Linked DNA regions of Macaca fascicularis. Each later gene encodes a partner of the first gene's protein in a complex. Links are inferred from orthologs where the notes say so. Each region holds a gene or a part of one and is shown on either strand. Other genes may lie near its edges. The genes, in order: ADAT3 and ADAT2.

Region 1 (8,612 bases):
GAGAAAACTTGTCTCACCACCCCACAACACACACAGCAATCCAGGCAACCACTGATGTGATCTCTGCATCTCCAGAAGCCAGAGCCTGGAAGCACAAGCCGTGGACCGGCAGTGCCTGGCTTCCAGACAGAAGGGCCATGTGGCCAGGAACGGAGCAGGACCATTGGTCCCCCGGCCGCAAGCAGATGCCACCCCCGTTGAGCCTCCAGATGACCACACAGCCCTGGCCAACATCTGGGTTCCAGCCCGGTAAGACCCCGCACAGAGGACCGAGCCACGTCACATTCAGGCCCTGACCCACAGAACCAGGAGCCGGCGGGTGTTGTATTAAGCCCACAGATGCACGGAGTCTGCTATGCAGTGACAGAAAGCAAGCATGCCAAGTGTGGGGGACACGGGGCCACCTCCCAGAACGGCACACAGCCTGGCACTGACACGGAACACCCACCTCCGGGTGGTTTCTGTAAACACTAGCCCCCTAGTTGGCCAAGAGCTAGGAAAAGAAAGACCTCAGAGGACAGGCCACGAAACATAAGGGCCCGGCTTCCCATCCCTTGACCACATTCCTGCAGCCATGGTGGGCCCTGGCCGTCAGGTGGAGCAGGCAGCCGCCGGGGTGTCCCTGTCTACTCAGTCACAGAGGAGGCCCTGGCCGTCAGGTGGAGCAGGCAGCCGCTGGGGTGTCCCTGTCTACTCAGTCACAGAGGCGGCCCTGGCCGGAGTGGGGCTGCGGGAAGAGCTTGGATCACCCCTGGGGCTCCTGCTAACATCCCTGACTGCCGGGCAGCATGCCAAGGTGGCTCTCGGGTGAGAAAGAACCTCCCGGCCTGACATCACCAGCACCGTTACCATCCCTGCTGCTGGCACAGGTGAGGACAGGAGGCGGTAGGGTCACTCCACTGGAGAGGAAAGGCTGGCGGGGCTCCCGGTTCTCGGGATCACCCCATGAGAGGGGAGCCTGCCCTAGGCGGGCAGAGAGCACAGCAGAGAGGCAGGCGTGGGGACAGCCAGCCTGCAGAGACTGCTCACAGGGCCCTGGGGGACAGCGCTTCTGGCTCCCACATCTCTGGCATCCACCCCACCTGAACACCCCCAAACCACCGTCTCAGCTGGTCAGCCCTCCCCGACCTGCATCTCCCCCCACAGACTCGCACCGCAGGCCTGAGGCTGGATTCCAGGCATGAGCCACCACGCCCAGCCCACATATTTTTTTTTTTTTTTTTGAGATGGAGTCTCGCTCTGTTGCCCAGGCTGGAGTGCAGTGGCCGGATCTCAGCTCACTGCAAGCTCCACCTCCCGGGTTCACGCCATTCTCCTGCCTCAGCCTCCGGAGTAGCTGGGACTACAGGCGTCCGCCACATCGCCCGGCTAGTTTTTTGTATTTTTTAGTAGAGACGGGGTTTCACCATGTTAGCCAGGATGGTCTCGATCTCCTGACCTCGTGATCCACCCATCTCGGCCTCCCAAAGTGCTGGGATTACAGGCTTGAGCCACCGCGCCCGGCCCCAGCCCACATATTTTTTTGAGACGGAGTCTCACTGTGTTGCCCAGGCTGGAGTGCAGTGGCATGATCTCAGCTCACTGCAGCCACCACTTCCCAGGTTCAAGTGATCCTCCTGCCTCAGCCCCCCAGCAGCTAGGAATACAGGCATGCGCCACTGCACCAGCTAATTTTTTGTATTTTTAGTAGAGGCGGGGTTCTACCATGTTGGTCGGGCTGGTCTCCAACTCCTGACCTCAGGTAATCCACCCGCCTCGGCCTCCCAAAGTGCTGGGATTACAGACGTGAGCCACCCTGCCCGGCCCACATTTTTTAAAAGTATAAATTAGTTGGGCATGGTGGTGTGCACACGTAGTCCCAGCTACTCAGGAGGCCAAGGCGAGAGGATCACTTAAGCACAGGAGTTTGAGACCAACCTGGGTAACATGCAGACACCCCGTTCCTTTTTTCAGATCAATAAATAATAACAAAATCCTAGAAACCTTACACCTGTATGCTCACAGTACTTCTAGCAGACAGTACTGCCTCAGGTGGTGCTGGGACTAAGCCGCAGATGATCTTAAAACGACTCTGGACGATCCTGACCACCACCGCCCGCCGGACTACACATCCCTGCTGGTGTGGACGGCTCCTGCCGCAGGCAGGGATGTGTCTCTGGATAATTTCGCAGCTGCGCAGCTGTGGGCGCTACTCCTCGAGATGCATTGCCCGGTTCACACCTCAGCCGCCGAGGCGCCCCACAGTGGGGGGACAAGCAGCCAGTGGAACTCCGGGCCAGTGGACTTGGAGGGCACACTGTAGTGGCCCCAGCGCTGCCTGAAGCTCAAGCGTTCAACGAAGCACGGAACCGGAAGCGCAGTGGGAGCCGGGAGCCGGAAGTGCAGAGGTAGAGCTAGGTGCTGCCGCTGCCCAAGGCCCTGTGCCAGGTGGGGCCCATAGCAGTTGACTCGCTGGGCCCTCCCAAAACGCATACCACGCGCGACCAGGACCGCGAGGCCCGGCTGGGCCACAAACACTCCACTGTCTCCAGGGTCAAAGACAAACACAGCCTCGCTTGTCCCTCCAAGAGTACAACCTCTGTCTGATGAAAAACAAACGACCCAGGGAGGAGTGCTGGAACACTGCGGGCTGGGCCCGCCACGCCCTTGGAGGGCAGGTCAAAATCCTGGGACACTGCAGGCTGGGCCCCCTGCGCCCATGGAGGGCAGGTCAAAATCTCAGAACAGGCACTGTTCAGGCTGATGGACTGTCCCAGGCCAGGGCGGCTTTAACTGCCAGAGCAGCTCCTACCCACCCGCTGTGGTCCAGGGGGGATGACTCACTCCGGCAGGCAGTACAGCGACTGCCGCCCAACAGCTGGGGGGGGGGCCACCTGATCCTCCCCCTACCACACACGCCCAGAAGGCAGTCGACCACTGGGACCCCTCAGGAGGGCAGGTCACCACCTCCTGGCTGCGAGGGCTCAGGCAGCAGTCCTGATTCCTCCAAGCCTCGGCTTCCACCCCTGTGAAATGGGAATTCCTGCTCTGCCTTTTTTTTTTTTAAGGCAGGGCTGTCAGGCGCATAAGAGAAAGTGGGGGGATGGAGGGGCCTGACCATCTCCAGTAGCATCCAGGAGGGCCCCTCGGAGGCAGTGACCCACAGCCCAGCCTGGAAGGCTGGGGAAGTAGGGGAGAGAACACGGAACAGAGGGACAGCTAATGCTCAGTGCCAGGGCACACCAATAGTCTGCGTGGGGGCTTTTTTTTTTTTTGAGACAGAGTCTCACTGTCCCCCAGGCTGGAGGGCAGTGGCGTGATCTTGGCTCACTGCAACCTCTGCCTCCCTGGTTCAAGCAATTCTCCTGCCTCAGCCTCCCAAGCAGCTGGGACAACAGGTGTGCACCACTACGCCCAGCTAATTCTTTTTTTTTTTTTTTTTTTTTTGAGACGGAGTCTCGCTCTGTCACCCAGGCTGGAGTGCAGTGGCCGGATCTCAGCTCATTGCAAGCTCCGCCTCCTGGGTTTACGCCATTCTCCTGCCTCAGCCTCCCGAGTAGCTGGGACTACAGGCGCCCGCCACCTCGCCCGGCTAGTTTTTTGTATTTTTTTTTTAGTAGAGACGGGGTTTCACCGTGTTAGCCAGGATGGTCTCGATCTCCTGACCTCGTGATCCGCCCGTCTCGGCCTCCCAAAGTGCTGGGATTACAGGCTTGAGCCACCGCGCCCGGCCTACCCAGCTAATTCTTTATATTTTTAGTAGAGATGGGATTTTACCATATTGGCCAGGCTGGTCTCGCACTCCTGACCTTGTGATCTACCTGCCTAGGCCTCCCAAAGTGCTGGGATTACAGGCGTGAACCACCATGCCCAGCCTGGGGCTTGTTTTTTTTACACATATATATTTTGTTGCTTTTTTTTTTTTTTTTTTTTTGAGAAGGACTCTCACTCTGTCGCCCAGGCTGGAGTGCAGTGGTGCGATTCCAGCTCACTGCAAGCTCCGCCTCCTGAGTTCACACCATTCTGCTGCCTCAGCCTCCCTTGGGAGTAGCCAGGACCACAAGAGCCCACCACCACGCCCAGCTTTTTATTTTTAGTAGAGATGCGGTTTCAACGTGTTGGCCAGGATGGTTTTGATCTCCTGACCTCGTGATCCACCCGCCTCGGCCTCCCAAAGTGCTGGGATTATAGGCGTTAGCCACCAGGCCCGGCGCTATACATATATACCTAATTATTTTGAGACAGGGTCTCACTCTGTTGCCCAGGCTGGAATGCAGTAGTGCCATCATAGTTCACTGCAGCCTCAACCTCCTGGGCTCAAGCAATCCTCCTGCCTCAGCCTCCTGAGTAGCTGAGACCACAGACACGTGTCACCATGCCTGGCTAATTAAAAAAAAAAAATTTTTTTTTTGGAGAGTCTTGCTAGGTTGCTCAGGCTGGAGTACAATAGTGTCATCTTGGCTCACTGCAACCTCCACCTCCCATGTTCAAGTGATTCTCCTGCCTCGGCCTCCTGAGTAGCTGGTTTTACAGGCGTACGCCACCATGCCCGGCTAATTTTTGTATTTTTGGCAGAGATGGAGTTTCACCCTGTTGATCAGGCTGGTCGCGAACTCCAGACCTCAGGTGATCCACCCGCCTTGGCCTCCCAAAGTGCTAGGGTCACAGGGTGAGGCACTGCGCCCAGCCGTCCTAGTTTCCAAGGAGTCGATCCTGTGTTTCTGGCCATCCTACAAGGAGGCCTTCTCTGCAAGACAGCGGGGAACCTCGGCCCTCGGGGTAGGGTGTGGGAGATAAGTGGGGGCCTGTGATGGAAAAACCCGAAAAACTCGCACTCTAGGTAACGACGAGGAACGATGGTCAATTCTGGGGATGTACAAAGGACTAGGGGAATCTTCACGTAAAGGCAAACCAGAGCTGGGGAGGAAGGACGCGAAAGCGCCGGAAACCTGCGGGTGCGCGGTTCGGGGGCAGGGGACTGGCGGACTTGACCTGGGAAAGGGCCACCGGAAGCAGCTGGAGCGTACGGGGTCTCCCGACCGGGCCATAGGGGCGCGCACGCGTATAAAAGCGCTGGGCCCGGGGGAGCGCGCTCCTGAGGCTCCCCCCAAGGCCAGCGCCGAGCGCACGCGCATTCGCGCTACCTCCCCACGGCGCCCACCGGCCCGCCCCAGAAGCGCCCGAGGTTGGCGCGGGCCCCCCGTTTTCTCCCCACGAACGGCCGGCGCCCTTCACCGCCGAGACCCCCCATGTTCGCCCCTACTTCCCTTCTAGGGAAGCCTGAGCCTGGAGAACCCGAGACCTCGGCGCCACGCGCTTACCTGAGGGATCCGGGCGCGAGCGCAGCGCTTCGCCAAGTCTTAGCAACCGGCCCGGCGCGCCCCGCCCCGCCTTGCCTCGTCTCCGCCTGGCGCCGCGGAGCACGACGGGAGCGTAGTTCCAGGGGCGGGGTCGGCGCGAGGCAAAGGCGGGGCAAGGACTACAATTCCCAGCAGGGACTGCGCGCCACCTCGCCGCGCCGCCGCCTCGCCCCGCCCCCGCCGGCACTGCGCTCACATGACCGTCGGTGGGGGCGAGGCGGGGCCGCTGCGCTGGGCGAGCGCTGAGTTTACGGGTTGGAATCCCATGAAGCGGCCAGGGAAAACTCAGAACCTGCGGGGTCTTTGGAAAGTTAGCAGAGTGGGGAGGACGAGGCAGGGGGGGGGGACATTGACACCAGTCCCCTGAGACTGGGATGGGGCCAGGTTCCAGTTCTGCCTGTTACTGCACTCTGACCTGGGCGGTGCTCAGGTTTGAGTTTTCTCATCAGTACTGTAGGTAAAGAAGACCTCTTGCATCTCCTGGGCCAAACAAGCACACTTTTTTTTTTTTTTTTTTTTTTTTTGAGACGGAGTCTCGCTCTGTCACCCAGGCTGGAATGCAGTTCTAGGTTCACTGCAACCTCTACCTCCCGGGTTCAAGTGATTTGTGGCTAGTTTTTGTATTTTTAGTAGAGAAGGGGTTTCACCAAAACATGCACATTTTATGACCAATTTGTTACTCCTTCCAGTTGGACAGGTTTAACCAAGTGGTTCTCAACGGGAGGGAATTTGTCATCCCCTCCCCAAACAACTCGACAGTGCCTGGGTGTAACCAGCTCACGCTCGGATACCCAAGTCTTGCCAAACCAATAAGGAGGAAAAAGTGCAGTGAAACGAAGGCGACTTCATTTTTAGAGTTCGCAGTGGGGAAGCAGCTGGCTTAGGCCTCCAGAAACCCCTTCAAACTTGAGGCTGGGGTGAGGGGCTAAAAAAGAGGAACTTGGAATGGTGGGTGTGCAGGGGAGGTGCTGAATATAAGCTCTGTGTGGCTTAAAAGCACATGCTGGCCTCATCCTAATAACGGCCAGGTTGCAGACCACGTTGAGGAAATCTCTGGGATTTTGCAGGTGGGTCTCCGTTCTTGGTCTGTGTCCAGATTGGCTCCTGGAACTTTCTTTTTCTTTTTTTTTTTGAGACATAGTCTTGCTCTTGTTGCCCAGGCTGAAGTGCAGTGGTGTGATCTCGGCTCACTGCAAGCTCCGCCTCCCAGGTTCAAGTGATTCTCCTGCCTCAGCCTCCCGAGTAGCTGGAATTACAGGCACGCACCACCACGCCCGGCTAATTTTGTGTTTTTAGTAGAGACAGGGTTTCTCCATGTTGGTCAGGTTGGTCTCGAATTCCTAACCTCAGGTGATCCGCCCGCCTTGGCCTCCCAAAGTGCTGGAATTCCAGGCCCGAGCCACCATACCCAGCCTGCTCCTGGAACTTTTAGGTAATCACATAATTAGATAGACGCATACAGTTAGGTAAACTCGCAGAGAGTGAGGGAGTTTATGGTGAAAAAGGGGAGGACATGGTGTTTCAAAGAAAGTGCATTTCTTTTTTTTTTTTTTTTTGAGATGGAGTCTTGCTCTGTCACCCAGGCTGGAGTGCAGTGGCGCCATCTCGGCTCACTGCAAGCTCCGCCTCCCGGGTTCAGGCCATTCTCCTGCCTCAACCTCCCCAGTAGCTGGGACTACAGGCGCCCGCCACCACGCCCAGCTAATTTTTTTTTTTTTTTTGTATATTTAGTAGAGACAGGGTTTCATCATGTTAGCCAGGATGGTCTCGATCTCCTGACCTCGTGATCCGCCCGTCTCGGTCTCCCAAAGTGCTGGGAGTACAGGCGTGAGCCACCGCGCCCGGCCAAGAAAGTGCATTTCAAGGCCGGGCGCGGTGGCTCACGCCTGTACTCCCAGCACTTTGGGAGGCCAAGGTGGGTGGATCACCTGAGATCAGGAGTTTGAGACCAGCCTGGCCAACATGGTGAATCCCTGGCTCTACTAAAAATACAAAAATTAGCCGGGCATAGCGGGGGCCTGTAATCCCAGCTACTAGGGAGGCTGAGGCAGGAGAATCAGTCGAACCCGGGAGATGAAAGTTGCCGTGAGCTGAGATCGCACCACCGCGCTCCAGCCTGGGCAATAGAGTGACATTCCATCTCAAAAAAAAAAAACAAAAAACAGCATTCCAGGAAACTATTTCGCTCTCAGTTAGTTGCTTTCTTTTTTCCTTTTCTAAATAAAAACTCAGACTGCTGTGAGTTTCACTTTTTCTTTTTTTAGCTTAAATACACATCTCTCCATCACTGGATGCCTTATGCAAACTAGCCAAGAGCCCCTGTTTTGCTGATTTGTTTAAAAAAAAAAAAAAAAAAAAAGGACAGCCTTTATTTGGTAAGTCATTAAATCCAAAGCCCAGATTTTCTGCATCTAAAAAAATGAATCTAGGCCAGGCATGGTGGCTCATGCCTGTAATTCCAGCACTTTGGGAGGCTGACACATGAGGTTTGCCTGAGGCCAGGAGTTTGAGACACATACCACCATCTCTGCAAAAAAAAGAAAAAGAAAAAAACAGAATTGCTGGGTCCGGTGGGGCACTGAGTAGCTGGGACCGCTGGGACAGCTACTCAGGAGGCTGAGGTGGGAGGATCATTTGAGTCCAGAAGGTCAAGGCTGAAGTGAGCTACGATTTTCACTCACTTTCACTACGATAACCACTGCACTGCAGCTGGCTAATTTTTGTATCTTTGGTAGAGACGGGGTTTCACCATGTTGGCCAGGCTGGTCTCAAACTCCTGACCTCTGGTGATCTACCCGCCTCAGCCTCCCAAAATGCTGGGATTACAGCGCCAGTCACCATGCTTGGCCTTCTTTGGGGTTTTTGTTTTGCTTTGGGGCTTAAGCTAGTTTCAGTCATGATTTTGGCCTCTACTGATGGGACCCCCTTTTTTTTTTTTTGAGACGGAGTCTGGCTCTGTCGCCCGGGCTGGAGTGCAGTGGCCGGATCTCAGCTCACTGCAAGCTCTGCCTCCCGGGTTTATGCCATTCTCCTGCCTCAGCCTCCAGAGTAGCTGGGACTACAGGCGCCCGCCACCTCGCCCGGCTAGTTTTTTGTATTTTTAGTAGAGATGGGGTTTCACTGTGTTAGCCAGGATGGTCTCGATCTCCTGACCTCGTGATCCGCCCGTCTCGGCCTCCCAAAGTGCTGGGATTACAGGCTTGAGCCACCGCGCCCGGCCGGGACCCCTTTTTTAATTGACATTGTTCTTTATCCAGAACCTTTCAAAAGTAA
Region 2 (8,826 bases), on another chromosome or scaffold:
TTTCTTTGTACATGACAGTATCTTTGCTTGGATCAACCTTTCCTTTCAACCAGCCCACATCCTTTTGGTCCCTTAAAATTTACAAGGAATTCTACCATATATCTCAACTGACGTGCTGTAGGACCTTGCCAGCTGTTATGTGATAGCACTTTATATCTGTCTCTTGTGGTCATCGGATATGTTCCTTACCAACCTTTTCATCTGTGCATGGCTTAATTTCATCAATTAAACAGTATGTTCCTGGAAGGCAAGCACTAGATCCAGGCACTGTGAAGCTTCTCTTGCTCACCTCTGCAGCCTAGGCACCCAGCATGAGGTCTAACACATAGCAAAAACTTAATCATACCACATTTGTTGAAATGGTAATCATACCACATTTGTTGAAATGGTATCTGCGGTGTTTGTTTTCTTTTTGAATTTCCCTCAGAGCCTAGCATAATGTTATATTAATACCAACTGCCCCAAAAATGCATACTACAAAAAAATACAACTGACTTTTTTTCTAGAAAACTTGCAACATTTTTTTTCTATACATATATATATAGTCAATCTTTCTTTTTTCCTAATTGTAAAGTAAGATATGTTCAAGGTGAACTTAGGGATTAAAAAAATAAACAAAAAACCTCATATATCAAAAAAAAAAAAAAAAAAAAAAAATACACTAGGAATCCCAATACCCGAAAATATAATCCCTGTTATTCTGAGGCAACAGAAGTTTTTTCTGTTTTTTTCCCTAGGCCCTGCATACACATATTGATAGTTTTTAAAAAGTCAAAGAGATTTACACTATATATACAGTTCAGCAGTCTGCCTTTTTCATTTAGAAATGTACTGTTAACCTTTCCCTACATTGGGTAATACTTTTTCATGACATGATTTTGTAAAGGTTGTACAGTATTTCTCCTTATGAACATATTTGATTCAACTAACTAGTTTCCTATTATTTGACATTTAAGTGATTCAAATTCTTCACTATTATAAATAAGAACATCTCCATATAAATATTTCTATGGCTTCTTTGTGAATTATTCCTAGAAACAGCTGTAAAATACAAAGAGCTCCTACAGTGCGATTTTTTAAATCAAACTATTAGTAAAATTGGGCAAAGTATATGCCTCAGCAATTCACAAAAGAAAAAATCTAAATGTCCAATTAAATTACACAGTAGATATACAGTATTCAGGGTAAGGAAACTGAAAAGGAAGAAAGAGAGCAGAGGATATGTTGGCAAGCAGTGAGCTACCTAACACTAAGAGGCAGGCTAGGCCAGTATTTGACAGCAGACGACAGGGCTCAAGTCACAGCCCCATCCTTACCAGCTCTCTAACTTTGGGAAAGTTACTGAACTTTCTCAGCTTCAATATCCCCATCTGAAAATGAGGACCATAATAATACTCACCTGATAGGGCTGCTGTGGGGCTTATGACATGGCCCACATGAAAACACTGTGCATAGCATAGTATCTGGAACACACCAAGAGTGCAACACTATTACTTAGTCATACTTTTTTTTTCCAAGCCTATCTTTAGAATGCTATGCTGAACATGCTATGATGATTAAAACAATAACCTATGATGATGCTATGCTTAGCTCTCAGAAAGAAACCTAACAAGTAGTAAAGTTGATAACTTTATATGCTATCCAACAAATCCTTTTGTAGTTATGGAAATATCCTTTGATCTGCACTGTCCAATATGGTAGCCAGTGGTCATATGTGGCTTCTGACTACTTGAAATGTGGCTAACACAACTGAGGAGCTGGATTTTATTTTATTTCACCTTAATTAATTTAAAGTTAAATAGCTACACATGGTTAGTGACTACGATATTGGGCATCATGGTTCTAGAAGGCAATACAGGAGTATCTATATAATTTCAAAGCACATACATCCTTTGTCCCATTTTTGATAGTCACTCCATAGCAACAGAAATACCATGAGGTAGGGAGGAGTGATTAATATATTAAGACTACCAAAAAAATGTGCTGAGAATCAAAAAGAGAACATGTAAATCCATTTATGCAAAAGTACATATGGCTGTTTACATATGGACAGAGAGATATGGAAGGATGCTCCCAAACACTAATAGTATTATCTCTAATGATAGGACTGTCAGGTAATTTTTACATAATTGGTTAACCCTTTTTTATAGTTTGAATTTTTTATGCCCATGAATTATTTACATAATCAGAAAAATAAAACATTAAAATATTTTCACTTTGGGAAAAAAAAAAGGGGGGGCATTAATGGATCAAAGGATAAGCTCACTTTTAAGGCCTTTTATATCTACCTAGCCAAATTGTCCTAATAAAAGGGTGTTCTAAATTCAGTTCCTCCCAACCAACAAACACCTCAAACATGCACATCCTTATTATCACCAAGCATTAAAATTGCTTTCACGTTTGCCAATTTAACAGGTGAAAAATTGTGTATCATTTTACTTTGAATTTCATTAATAGTGAAATTGTGTATTCATTCATTTGCTGGCTACTCGTCACTTCTTTTAGAAATATCATGTTCAGGTGAGGTGTGGTGACCCACACCTGTAATCCCAGCACTTTGGGAGGCTGAAGTGGGACGATTGCCTGGGGCCAGGAGTTCAAGACCAGCTTGGGCAACACAGAGAGACCCTGTCTAAACAAAAAAACACTTTTAAAAATAAAAGGAAATTTTAAAAAGAAATATATTCATATCCTTTGACCTTTTCAGTATTAGGGTATACATATTTCCTCTTACCTCAGAAAGTACTTAGATTTTATATAAATTCTATGTTACGGTTATTAAACCTGTCCTTTTATATATGTTGCAAATATTTTCCTTCTCTGCGATTTCCTTTACTTTGTATCTTTTTTTTCTTTTTTGAGACAGGGTCTGGTTCTGTCTCCCAGGTTGGAGTATAGTGGCACAGTCATGGCTCACTAGAGCCTCAATCTCCAAGGCTGAAGCAATCCTCCTGCCTCAGCCTCCTGAGTAGCTGGGACTGCAGGCACATGCCACCATGCCCTACTGATTTTTAAATTTTTGTTTAGTAGTGACAGGGTCTCGCTATGTTGCCCAGGCTGTTCTTCAACTTTTGAGATCAAGAGATCCTCTTGCTTCTGCCTTCCAAAGTGTTGGGATTATAGGCATAAGCCACTGCATCTGGCCATGATACTTTGTATCTTATCTTTTTAAACATGTGGATGTTTTCAAAGAATTTCTAGACCTCTCTGGCTTTGAAATTTTTGTCTCTCAATTGTATTATAAACACCTAGGGATGTGATTCCATAGTTTACCTCCTCCTACACAAGACTAAGGAGGCAGCTGCTTCTTGGGTTTTGGCATATACATGTTTCTTCAAGGTCTTAAAGGGAAAAAAGTACTTGTTAGGAGGGCTACATGTCACTAGGCAATAGGAACTTTTCAGCTCCGTTATAATCCTATAGGACCACCGCTGTATATGTGGTCCTATAGATTATAACGGAGCTGAAAAGTGCTAGCGAGCTTCTTAACTGGGATAACAGTTTGTTTGTAAACGTATGTAAATGTATTTACTTGTGCTAGCCCAAGGTCAACCTAAAAGGTGGCAAAAAGGTTTAGCCCAGAAGTCTACATAGAGACTAGTGTTGTCTACCTCCATACCACCCTGAACGTCCCCCAATCTCGGACGCTGAGCAGGGTCAGGTCTGGTTAGTACTTGGATGGGACAATAGGGCTAAGGTGAGTAGATTTAATGCTCCAGGATAACGACCTTTACAGACAGGTCATTATGTGGCACGTGGCTGTATGTACAGTTATTAAAATGTAAATATACATGTTTGCAAACAAACTATTTTCCCAGTTAAGAAGCTCGCTAGCACACACCATTCTGTTGAAAGGCCCCTTTACTCCGCAGACCTGAAGGGAGTGAGGGAAGGACGTAAAAGGGCAGAGGAAAGAATGAATGAATGCGAGACACCGATTCTACAGGGATTTGTTTCCATACTGCTCTCTACCAGAAACGTTCTCAGTTTCCTTCCTTCTGCTGGACATGGTCCAGGGGCCAAAACCTCAAATAATGTGATTTTGTAGATTGGAGAGTGTGACCACAGAAAGGAAAGGGAGGCAGCACGTGCCAGCCAGCGACAGAATGCTAAGTCTGCAGCATACTCCACCCCAATGAAACAAATAATTTCTGTATTTCCTCCCTTTCCTTCGCCCATAGTCACTGTGAGAATGGGCTACAGAAAGTTTCGAGGCAGTAAAGCCAGTAGTTCACCCAGAACATCTGACTGCCATAAAAATTATGGTGACGAGAAAGAACGTTTGCTCAAATGCCGTGGTTGGGGTGAGGGCTGGAGAAAGGTCCCACCCCGCAGCATTCACCTCCCGGGCTCCTCACCATGTGCATTGCCTCCTCCATCCACTTTTCGGTCTCTTCTGCCGACACCGAGCACGCGCCGCCTGCAGCTGACTTGGGCGCCGCCTTCGCCTCCATACCCGGCCACCACTCAGCGCCAAAGGCCGCCGCGGAGGAGGAGCGCGGGCAGCGGAACGCGGCGGGCCCGGGCCCCCGTTTCCGGGGGAGTCGAATGGAAAGGCACTCGGGAGCGATTTCTGAACGGACCTGGGCGTGTCGGACCAGTGAGCAGCGGCGGCTGCGCCGCGGCAGCCGCAGAAAGCGCAGCTGCTTTGCTCTAGTCCACGCCCCCTTGCCGCTCCGGTGACAGTCTGCGGAAAGCCGCGTTTGTGATTTCGGGAGAGCGCAGAGCGGGACGGCGGCGCTCTTGCTTGGTCATCTGGGCCAGGTGACGAAGAAACAGTTTCCCGGTGAAGCAGCCCCTCACTCATAGTCAGCGCACACCCCTAGGGCCTAAAGATGCTGAGGTCCGTATGGAATTTTCTGAAACGCCACAAAAAGAAATGCATCTTCCTGGGCACGGTCCTTGGAGGTGGGTGACAACGTTCTTGAAAGGGGGCATTGGGAGAAGGGAGTGGGAGAGGTGACTTTTTCTAAAATAAGAACAGGCCGGGGCGAACCTAGTCTGGGATCTGTAGAGGGGATTCGATCAACCATGGGATGGAAAGGGAGGTGGCCAACCTCAAGGGTTCTCCCATCTCTGCAGTTGAGAAATGCCTCTGTGCCCTTTGCCCTGTCACCGCCTCTTAACTGTTTCTCACCTATCCTTTTTTCTCACGGACCTTTGGAGAATTCAGTACAGTTTAAGTTTCTGTTACAGGAACTTTTTAAAAAAAATTCTGCTTTCCTGTGAGATTCTTCATTTTTCCTTGGCACTCTTGGCACTATGGCTCTCACCCTTCTCAGGAGTTTAATAATAATCTAGGGGAGGTGGTTTAATAATAAATGATAAATAAATAAATAATAATAAACTCTCAGGAGTTTAATAATAATCTAGGGGAGGGAGTTTAATAATAATCTAGGTGGTGGTTAAAGTCGATTTGAATTTTTGAAAACAGCGCAGTTGTCCTGAAGGACTGAAAGAGATGGATTAGATAAAGAAAAACAAATCAATATTTTAGCTCTGTTTCTGCCATTTTAGAATACAAACTGTGGCAGTAAGAAAAATGCTTGAGGGATGTTGCGCAGTCTTCCTCAGGATCTTCAAGGTTGGGATCGTTGTAATCTAACTGACATAGCTGAGTTGCACGGGCCCAGAGGAGATTTAGAAACAGATAAGATAAAAATCTTGAGACCCTTTTCCCTCATACAATGCTCATGTGATAATATTCAGGGATTTGAAGGAGGGAATAAAAAGCTTTGTGAATTATATGAAAAGAACATCTAGGAACTTTAAAAGAGGAAATTTGTTGTAACTTGAGTTTTTGAGAAATATTCTTATCACTTATTATGTGCTGTGTTTACAGAAGTACTTAAAATAAAGAACAGAGGTTCCCAAAGAATTTGGTTGGCTTTTCTCTTAGTATTAGATTGTATTCTGTTCTCCCCAAACAATTTGAAATTAACAATACATATTAGATTGTATTCTGTTCTCCCCAAACAATTTGAAATTAACAATACTTATTAGATTGTATTCTGTTCTCCCCAAACAATTTGCAATTAACAATACTCTTAGCATCAATAGTTCAGATTTTGGTGATGCTTCAAAGTTTGAAACAGAGTTCTTGTTGCTGAGCCAAGGATGGTGTTTGCATGCCTCTGACATCTATCACAGATCAATAATAAGCGTGTAAATTTTGAACATCTTTGAGAAATCCTTTATATATAAAAGGTATTTTCTGATATCTTCATTCTCTAGTATCTAATGTATATTTAAATTATCCTAAGACTACTGAGTCCATTTTATTTATAAAAGCTAAAAATAGATGTGTGATTGAAGCAATACAAATAAAGTATTTTTGCCTTTACCGAAGGAAGGAAAATTATCTCTAACAATCTCAGAAGGAATACTCCTTCAGCTTATGGAACAACCTTGTGGTAAATTAGAAATAATCACAGGGGAAGCAAAAGAGTAGACTTAAAAGAAATTTATAATTAAAAAAAAAAATCTAACAAGAGCCTTATAGTTACAGAATAAGAGGAATGCAAAAAAAGAAAAGTTCAGACGGATAGAAAGAGAAAATAATCCTAGTGTTTTATATCAATAAAGGAGTCAGTCTGAAAAGAAAGGAAGAGTAGATGACCATGGTTGGCATTTGTTTGAGCCTCGTATTCTTTCTGCTTCAGGGAGAAAGTTCTACAGTATGTTAGATTTTAATTAATCTGACTTAAGAAATATTTATCAAGTACCTGTAGTGCTGAAAGTAATATGTATGGAAATACAAGATTTATAGATTTTTAATAGTAACAGCTACTATTTATTGGGAGCCCACTTTACACTGGGCATTGTGCTAAGCTCTTCCTATTTAGGCAGAATGACAAGAAGGCAGTTATTATTATCCCCATTCAAAAATGTGGCAACAAGAGCCCTAAGAATTTAAGAAACTTGCCTCAGGTCTCAGAATTAGTGAAGGGAAACTGGAATTCAAACCCAGGTGTGTTGGACCCCAAAGCACATTCTCTTTCCACATTATATCACTGTGCTTCCATGGTCTTTATGGTCTGATAGGAAGGAAAAGCAAGTATACATGTAATTAAGATACAGAAAAACAAGAGAGGTGAAAAAATGCTGTACAGATCACACTGGCAAGTAGCATATACAGTTGTGAAAAATCAGGAAGAATTTCATGGAAAAAGAGACACATTTTGACAGGCTCGAAAGCTGGACAGTATATCAACAGGATGCTTGGAGAAGTTTGGTCATTCAATCGTGGGGGAAATAAGTAAGTAAAACCTTCAGTAGCAGGCCTTCTTAAGTAACAATTTCTGTTTCCTTGAATTTTAGATGGGTAACTAATTGGTTTACACCAGTTTGTATAATTTGACCAGTTTTGGGTGTTTGGGTGTGTTCGGTTTTTGTTTTTGTTTTTTTTTTTTTTTTTTCAGACAGGGTCTTGCTCTTTACCCAAGCTAAAATACAGTGGTGTGATCATAGCTCACTACAGCCTTGATTTCTCCTTTGCTAGCTTTACAATGTAAGGCAAGTAGAAAGCTTCCTTATGAAGATTTGCCTGACACCTTCACACTTTCCTCACTCATGTGATCCTCTCACCTCAGCCTCCCAAGTAGCTAGGACTACAGGTGTGCACCATCAGGCTTGGCTAATTTTTAATTACTTTGTAGAGATGGGGGTCTCACTACATTGCTCAGACTGGTCTTGAACTCCAGGCTTCAAGCAGTCGTCCTGCCTCAGCCTCCTAAAGCGCTGGAATTACAGGCCTGAGCCACTGAGCCTGGCATAATTTGACCAGTTTGTGAAAAGGCTAGAGAATTGACTCCCAAACTTTTTGGTCTAAGGTCTCCTTTATACTCTGGAAAATTAAGGACCCTCAAAAGCTTTCTAAATTTTATATCTATTAATAGTTATGATATTCAAAATGAAAATGAAAATTTAAATATTAATTCATTTTTTAAAAACCTATTACATATTAACATAAATAACATTTTCAAAAAATTAATGAGTGTCATTGTTTTACATTTTGAAAATCTTTTTAATGTTTGACTTAATTGAAGAAAGCTAGATTCTCATCTCTTTCTATATTCTGTCAGTTGTGATATCACACAGCATGTAACCTCTGAATTACTCCACTGTATACTCATGAGAGAGTATGAGTATGAGAGAGAACGAGAATGAAAAAGGCAAATAACATTTTAGTATTATTACAAAAACAGTTTTGATTTTATAGACCCCCTGAAATGGTCTTAAAGACCCCAGGGGTGCCCTTGCCACACTTTGAGAACCATTGCACTGGAAAAAGTATTGGAAAACAGAGAGCAACCAGATTCATATTTATTGACTTGCTGGTTTCTAAAAAACTCAGAATATTGACTTGGATTTATACCTTAAATCCTGTAATCTCTGGCCTCTTCACATTTTTTATTCGTTTATTCATTCATTCATTCTGTCATTGAACAAACATTTGAATGAGAGTAAGTGCCTGTTCTCACTGTACTTTACTCTGGAAATACAAAGGAATAAGACTGATCCTGACTTGGAACTCATGGCACAGAAATGGAAATAAACAAAAGTAGTATGATAGTATAGTATGAAAATAGAGCAGGGTCTTGTGGGAGCATAGAGGAGAAGAAAGTGTGAAGATGTCAGGCAAAGCTTCATAAGGAAGAATTTCTACTTAAGTTTTAAAACTAGCAAAGGAGAAAGGACACAGCAAGAAAAAGAGCTATTCAAGAGGTTCAGCAACATTGCTTTTATGGATGAAACTATATTTCACTATGGCTGTGCAAATGAGAAGTGGCAAAAGATTAACTTGGAAAAGCAACTAGAGTACAG

Evidence for each region.
Region 2: the proteins of ADAT3 (region 1) and ADAT2 are in contact, whole or in part, in a crystal structure (PDB 9HMM), measured with the Mus musculus proteins. The link is inferred for Macaca fascicularis from reciprocal best matches to the Homo sapiens genes ADAT3 and ADAT2. Residues at the interface, in NP_001094076.1 of Mus musculus: Val217, Ala218, Pro220, Leu221, His223, Ile229, Asp230, Ala233, Gln236, Gly237, Glu270, Ser272, Pro274, Val276, Val290, Met291, Met294, Ala295, His298, Ala299, Pro311, Asp312, Leu318, Phe319, Val321, Arg324, Asp326, Leu327, Asn328, Pro349; in NP_080024.3 of Mus musculus: Val62, Asn63, Lys66, Asn67, Ala68, Thr69, His71, Met74, Ile77, Leu81, His85, Pro91, Cys107, Ile108, Met109, Ala112, Ala113, Leu116, Met117, Arg130, Phe131, Val137, Leu138, Ile140, Asp144, Leu145, Pro146, Asn147, Thr148.

The regions. Positions count from the first base shown.
Region 1 is NC_088393.1:2,524,927-2,533,538, reverse strand, and holds the start of ADAT3 (probable inactive tRNA-specific adenosine deaminase-like protein 3), read right to left. Parts: upstream 5,369-8,612; 5' UTR 5,301-5,368; intron 1-5,300.
Region 2 is NC_088378.1:47,652,184-47,661,009, forward strand, and holds the start of ADAT2 (tRNA-specific adenosine deaminase 2), read right to left. Parts: upstream 4,470-8,826; 5' UTR 4,455-4,469; coding exon 4,359-4,454; intron 1,464-4,358; exon of another isoform or gene 1,400-1,463; intron 1-1,399. Other genes in the region: PEX3 (peroxisomal biogenesis factor 3), read left to right, coding at 4,836-4,908. UniProt on the Homo sapiens protein: Probably participates in deamination of adenosine-34 to inosine in many tRNAs.